Canis lupus familiaris: one gene and its partner. The protein of the gene in region 2 interacts with the protein of the main gene of each other region in a pairwise test. Links are inferred from orthologs where the notes say so. Each region holds a gene or a part of one and is shown on either strand. Other genes may lie near its edges.

What was found. The genes of interacting proteins can lie anywhere in the genome.
Region 1: the proteins of GOLGA2 (region 2) and DCTN4 interact in binary tests that used the Homo sapiens proteins (3 or more experiments, as listed by UniProt). The two-hybrid records come from large-scale screens. The link is inferred for Canis lupus familiaris from reciprocal best matches to the Homo sapiens genes GOLGA2 and DCTN4.

What each region holds. Positions count from the first base shown.
Region 1 is NC_049225.1:59,357,629-59,361,274, reverse strand, and holds part of DCTN4 (dynactin subunit 4), read right to left. Parts: intron 2,067-3,646; coding exon 2,012-2,066; intron 984-2,011; coding exon 876-983; intron 1-875. UniProt on the Homo sapiens protein: Part of the dynactin complex that activates the molecular motor dynein for ultra-processive transport along microtubules.
Region 2 is NC_049230.1:55,336,389-55,340,034, reverse strand, and holds the end of GOLGA2 (golgin subfamily A member 2), read right to left. Parts: intron 3,022-3,646; coding exon 2,797-3,021; intron 2,718-2,796; coding exon 2,642-2,717; intron 2,442-2,641; coding exon 2,353-2,441; intron 2,080-2,352; coding exon 1,870-2,079; intron 1,787-1,869; coding exon 1,684-1,786; intron 1,601-1,683; coding exon 1,494-1,600; intron 1,417-1,493; coding exon 1,263-1,416; intron 1,175-1,262; coding exon 951-1,174; 3' UTR 209-950; downstream 1-208. UniProt on the Homo sapiens protein: Peripheral membrane component of the cis-Golgi stack that acts as a membrane skeleton that maintains the structure of the Golgi apparatus, and as a vesicle thether that facilitates vesicle fusion to the Golgi membrane.

The sequences.
Region 1 (3,646 bases), on a different chromosome or scaffold from region 2:
TCTATCAATTCTTGCTGTATCATGCAGAATTATAAGTCAGTAACAGATTGCCCATTGAGTAAAGTTCTTGATCTAAAATTCCAAGTATTACATGAATCACCAAGTAGCAAAATGAAGAAAGGCTACATTTTACTCATTCAACTGACATTTACTGAAAATCAAAATCACCTATTTTAATAGTTGGTGCCATGTATACTGCATGTAAGCAGAGGGCAGCTAGAAGAGGCATACCAGCTTTTAAAAGGACATGCTGAAAATTTTCTATGGGTCTTGAAAACTGAGTATGGTAAGACTGAGAGGTGTGGGCCTGTATGTCAGAGAATGGCACTCTAGGTAGAGAGAGTAGCATCTGTAATTCTCCAGCATGAAAGTGCATAACCATTGCATCTGCTCGGATAATACGCATTAATATGTTTGATTTGGAGAATGCTAGATTTGGAGATCTGGGGAAAGGGCATCCTGGAACAACAGAGGGGAGACCGTGGAGGACCTCTCTAGCTATGCCAAAGAATGTGGATTTCCTCCCTAAGTCAGAGGAATGCCAAATGACCAGCATGCCATGATCAGAGATAGATTTTACAAAGGTTGCTCTTGTGGCAAAACAGACAACAGGCTGGAAAGGAAGTAAGGGTGGATTCCAAACAGGTCATCCCGAATGTTACTGGCACAGTCCAGGTAAGAAAGAACAAGATCTGCAGAAGGCAGCGGCAGTGTGATTGCGCATACAGCAAAAAAAACCCTCAAGGGGTGAAATCCAAAGAATTTGATTAGTGCTTGGATGTGGGAACAGAAGACAGTGTGGAGTCCTTTAAGCAGGTCAAAAAGTCCCTCCAGGGAAAGTCAAGGTCCCTCAGGATAAGGCAAAATGCTCCTACCTTAGCAGTGCTATTGACATTATCGGGGTCTCCCTCCTCGCACTCCAGCAGCGTCACATGGGTGAGGTTCTCCACTGGATTTGTAAGTGTCAGGAGGACCTGGCTCTCCTGGGGAATAGGAAAAGCCTGTCTCAGACATGTTCCACTGCTGCCACCTAGGTCCACCTTCTTATTGCTACACCAAGCATTTCAGAAAACCATTACAACCCCAGCCCCCCTTACTCCTAAGCAATAACACCCACCTATACCTCTAAGTCACTACATCATTCTCAGAGGGCTGGCGGATTCCTATTTTATTATTTATATATTGGGCTATGTGTGCTCTGGAGCTACTTAAATTACATGAGGAAATAGGACAGATCCCACAGAAAGAGCCAGGTACTAGATTCAGAAATTCTGAGGAATGTACATTATCTAAGTGATTAAAGTTTACAACTCTTGCTCCAACCAGTCCTCCATGTAAGGACTCCTGAGCATAACTTAGTCTGCTTAGTCTGAAAGTTCTCATAAATAAAATATGGGAGCTGCAGGGTAGCCAGATATTGAAAAAAATCATTCATTAGGACTCTAAAAGACTTTTAAGATTTCTTGACCCATAATTTGCTCGTTTTGTACTTTCTTGAGATTGCCAAAATCTTTCAGATGAACATGGATTACATAAATGTCTTCATAAGCAGCACAAAAGTAAAGAACTAAAGGGGCTGCTAGAGAATATTCTACAACCCCTGGGGCGGGGGGGGGGCAGGAGGGGGCACAGATAAGGAACTCAAAGAAGAAGAGCTGTAGTAAAGAAGAAATCTGGTTGATTCCTGGTATCTGACACACAGAAATGGGATGTGGAGAGTCTTCTGGCTGGAGAAGAGCTAAAGGTGTCTGTGGGGTAAAACATTTTCTCTCCTCACCCATCATTCCATCTTTATATAACGTGCACACTGCTCCTTCAAAATTTATGTTAAAGATGCTGCTGCCAAGAATCTCAGAATAAAGAAATTAAAAATCTCAAAACTTTTATGATTTCAAATTTTTTTATCCCTTGCTCCTGAATTTCATGCTAAATATACCGCCACCCACATACACATACACACACACATCTCTGATCAACCCTTAGTCTTCCTGTTAATAAGCAAAGTACTAACCTTCATGTAGCGAAGGTTGGGAATCGACATGATTCTCACTTCTGGGATATAATTGCTATGCGTGAATAAAAAATACATTAATGTTCATTGAAGTCTCTTAAAATTATCACTTTTTTAAAGCAATTGCAGCAAAGATTTCTTCCAGTTAACTAGAACATGTCACACAAAAAGAATCTTAAAGAATCATACCATCATAATGAGATCTTAAGACATGAAACCAACTGGTAATGAGTTGTCCTGAAATCTTAGGGACTCTATCATTTATTTTTTTTAAAGATTTTATTTATTTATTCATGAGAGACACACAGAGAGGGGCACAGACATAGGAAGAGGGAGGAGAAGCAGGCCCATGCAGAGAGCCCAAAGCGGGACTCGATCCCGGCACTCCCAGGATCACACCCTGAGCCAAAGGCAGACGCTCAACCACTGAGCCACCCAGCCATCCCAGGGACACTTCTATTTAGAGCCTATGTATCTCTGTGCATTATAGTAAATATCTTCCTTATACATTTGCTAGATAATTTTTGAGATTTTATTAATTCATTTCTGTAAATCGAAAAGGCAACTAGTTATAGGGCCCATGACTGACTGGGTCAAAGTACTACTTACCACCTACTTACCACTGTTATATAGCACTATGTGCAAGGTAATGTTTTAAATGCTTTAAATTTAACTTATATAATCTTCACTGTGACTGCATGAGACAGGTGTTATTATTATCACTGCCATTACTGAGATGAAGAAACTAGGCTTGGGAGAAGTAACTTGCTGGTGAGTGGTCAAGTAGCTCTAGGGTCTTTCCCCTTAACCACTTCATGTTTTGCTGCCTCCCTAAGTAAGACAACACAATACCATACTCACATGTGTTTAGTCTGAACTCAAAACCACCCAGAGTCAAATCCCAGTTTAGTGTTTATATACCTATTCTTTCCTCCAAAGTCAACAGATCAGTGTTTCTCAACATTCCTGACTACTGTAAGGACTTATTTTTAATTACTGCGTAATATTCTACAACCTGAGTGTACCTCAATTTAATCAACTATTGTTAATGGCTAACCAGACACGGGAATTTCTAGATTTTTGCCTTTTTAAAATGTTACGATACACATCCTTACATATATATCTTTAGATATTGGTGGTTTTGCTTCAACAGAATAGATTCCTAAGATAGTACTGCGGTTTAGTCTATGTAGTTTTGTCTTGATATTCCAGGCCACTCTCCAAAAAGACTAGCAATCCACAAGCCTACCAACAATGTATGTAAATGTTTCCCCACATTCTCAGGAGTACTAAATGCTATTTATTATAGCATATATTTATAGCATATATTTATAAACTTTTCCTATCAAGTACCAGCATCTATCCCTGTATTCACTAACCATTTGAAATTCCTCTTCTTTTTTTTTTAAGATTTTATTTACCTATGCATGAGAGAGAGAGATTGGCAGAGACACAGGCAGAGGGAGAAGCAGGCTCCATGGGGACTCAGGGAGCCTGACATGGGACTCGATCCCAGGTCTCCAGGATCACGCCCTGGGCCTAAGGCAGGTGCTAAACTGCTGGGCCACCAGGGCTGCCCTGAAATTCCTCTTCTATAAGCTGCCAGTTCAAATCCTTTTTTTTTTTTTTTTTTTT
Region 2 (3,646 bases):
ATCCCCCAGGCTTCCCCAAGCAGCATGGGGGTGACAGGCCTGGATCATCTCCAACAGCTCTGTTTGCTAGGCAGGCTCAGAGACACTGGGGCTTTGCACAATCCAGAAGTCTGCCCTCTGCTGGCAGGATCTGCTCCCTGTTCAATGCCCACAGTGCAGACTCCAGGACCTAGGGGCCAGTGACTGGAAACAGGCACACACAAGGCTAAACAGTATGGCTAAATCCATTTATTCCGAAATAAAAAGCAAACAGAAGTTGTGAGTCACCTGGGCGGAACCCCGTCCCCGCCTCCTTCCTCTGTCCTATGCTATCAATAAATAAGTTTCCTCATCCCCAAATATTTAATAGAACTTCCTCCCCATTTGCCAGTTCCAACCTCTGCTATGATACAGGGGGCTGCCCTATCCCCAGAATATACAAAATGTTACACAGGTACAGTATATACACTGGGGAGGGAGCCCCCCCCCCCACCAGCTTATGCCTTTGCCTGGCCTGGGTTAGCCCCAACTGTCCTAAGGCCTGGGAGAGTGCTGCCCAGTCATTGAGCTGGACAGGGGGAGCACTTGTTCCCCAAAGTGCCTCTGAATAGAGGATGCCTGAGCCCCTCTGAAGGACTGCTTGGTGGGGGTGAGGAGGCCACCAGGGAGCCCCTGCCCCCCAAGAAAGGGAGCCCTCTAAATAAACTATGTTTTTATTGAGCCTCTGGCTCTTTGTTTTTCTGGAACGATGAGTAGTCCAGATAAAGACACAGCCCTTGCCAAGGTGGCAAGAGGTCTGCACCTATTTGTCTCCCCCAATTAGGAGGCTTTTCACACCCCTCTCAGGGGTCTTATCTTGCTAGTTTAGGGATAAAAGGGTAACTGGGAAGGAATGATAGGGTGGCAGGGACAGGGTGGGAGCAGAGCCCCCGGCCCCACTTCTCCAGGTTTTGCTTGCTGGTGTCAGGCTCTTAGATCACCAGGATCTTCACCTCGTCATTGTCATCAGCCCGGTAGAAGAAGGGGACGCAGGGATTCTTGCTTAAACCTAGGTATGGCTGGGGATTCTGCATCTCCTGCAGAAGCTGCATGATTTGCTGTGCAGTGGGGTTCTCAGGGGCACTGTGGCCTGGTAGGGCCTCTCCCTGAGGAGGTGCCACATTATCATTGTCAGCCAGGCTCACCTCTCGAAGATCTTTGTGGGTCAGGGAGAGAGAAAGAAACAGGGCTCTGAGTGCTGTGCGAGCTCTCCCCGCCCCACCCACCCTGAGGGCTCTACTCACCACCCTGGCCATTGGCAGCACCAAGCTCTTGGGCTGGGGGTGCTGTAGCAGGCTCTGCTGCGGGGTCCTGGGCAGCTGCCAGGAGCTTGCCCTGCCGTTCATTGCGCTCGCTCACTAGGCATAGCACCAGTTTCTGTAGCTCCAGCAGCTTCATCTGGAAGGAGAGGTGCTGAGCACCCCCGAGTTCCACCCCTGCCCTGTACCACTCCCAGCGATGCTCAGGGCCCCTACCTTCATGTTTTCTTTGTCTTGAGCCAGACGGCTAATGTACTCCTCCTTCTCCCGGTGCCGTTCCTTCAGCACTGCCCTCTGATTCTGGTACAGGGCGATGTATTCTCCTGTGGGTACACGGGCTGCCGCTCAGGCTCTTGGACCCATCACAGGGCTCCCCCCACCCCCGGGTGCTGGCCCTCCCACTCACCAATAGTGTCTGTCTCTCCAGAAAGCTGGATGCAGCAATGCTCCAGCTCCTCCACCCGCTCCTTCAGCTCCACTTTCTCCTGCATGAGCTCCAGGAAGCGGCCCTGTGGCCAGAGCAGCAGGGTCAGGGTCAGGCAGCCCGCCCTGGTGGCCCCACCCTTCCAGGGCTGGCCAGCGACTGGCTCACCTGCAGCTTGTCCATGGCCACCTGAAGGGCCTGGTGGGTCTCCCCAGGCACACTGTCACCACTGGGGGCTGCGGCCTCCTCCTGCACCTGCTGGCCTGGGGCCACCAGGTGAGCCAGACGCTGGCAGCGCAGCTTCTGCTTCTTCAGCTGCCCGCGCAGCCGTGCCTGCTCCTCCTCAGCACTGGCTAAGGCCGAGTTAAAAAATGCCACCTGCAGGTGAGACATGTGTGTGTGCTCTTGTGGGGGATACTCAGGGTGACCAGGTGGCAGGAAGGCAGAGAGAAGCTCCTCCTCTCCTGGCCTTCGTGGGCACATCTGCGCTTCAAGGATGGTGCCGAGGCTGACCGCTGGGTCCCATGGGTTTGAGGGTTGAGAGAGGTTGAGGGAGGGAACCAAGAAGAAAGGAGGGTGCCCCTGGGAGGGGGTTACCACAGAGGGAAGCGGGAAGGTGGGACGAGGAAGGGGCAGCGGGGGTCTGCTCACCACGGCCTCTCGGCTCTCCAGGTTCTCTGGCATGCTCAGCTTTGGCTGGGCAGCCTCTTCTTCCTTCTCCTCACTGTCCAATCCATCTCCTGTCAGGGCAGATGGAGGGTCCTCAGACAACCCAACAGGGGAGGTAAAGCGGGCCAGGGAACAAAGCTTGGGGCCAGTGCATCCCCAGAGAAGAATTCACTGTCCTACAGGTCCCGTCACACTTGATTCTGTGCTGCTCAAAGTCACCCCTCCTCCTCCTCGGGCTCTGTCCTCTTCCCCTGGACACTCTCCTACTCACCTTCCCCAGGCATAGCCATGAGGCTCAGCTGGGCCTGGAGCTGCTGGTTCTGCTGGGTGGCAGATTCCAGGCGTCCCTGAGGGGCCAGGAAAGAGTGAGAAGGGATGCGGGTAGCAGGCCCTCCCCTCGGGGCCCAGTACTCGAACTCCCTTCACCTGGGTCTCCTGTAACTCTTGGAGGGCTTTCTCGGCCGCCACCTTGCCCTGAACTTCCTCATGCTGCAGCCGGTCCATGAGCTGAGTCTGCAGCAGCACCTGCTTGTGCAGCAGCTCCTTGTCGGAAGCCAGCTGCTGGTAGGCGGCCATATACTGCTGCAGGTGGCTCATGTACTGGTCCCGCTGCTGCTGTAGATTCTGAGCCTCCTGGCTCTTCAGCTCCACCTGTGGGAAGACCCAGGGACTAAGGCTGGCACCCGTGCTGAGAGGAAAGCGGGAGGCTCTGCGGCCCGCCCAGGCCCCTGGCTTCCTCGCTCTAGGACTTCAGTGACTGCCCCTATATCCAGGGACCCACACTTCCCTTACCCTTCCTCATGCCTCATGACCACCTTCTATTTTCACTTTAGTGGAAAAGCAAAGTGCGCCCATGGACATCTGAGTGCGCCCTGAATGCCTCACACTACAGGCATGCTTCTCATTTAATTCTTGACACCTGGGCAGCCCGGGTGGCTCAGCGGTTTAGCGGCCCCTTCAGCCCGGGGCCTGATCCTGGAGACTCAGGATCGAGTCCCACATCGGGCTTCCTGCATGGAGCCTGCTTCTCCCTCTGCCTGTGTCTCTGCCTCTCTCTCTCTCTCTCTGTGTCTCTCATGAATAAGTAAAATCTTAAAAAATAATAATCCTTGACACCTCTGTGAGCAAAATGCTAATATCTCTGAGGACACCTGAGGCTGAGAGATGAGAAGCGACTAGTGACTGGTGGAGCTGGGGGTAGCATCCAGGGCTGAATCCGAGGTGCACCATCTCTTGACCTCGTTAGGGGCCTGAGCTCTCTAGCCAGGACGAGGAC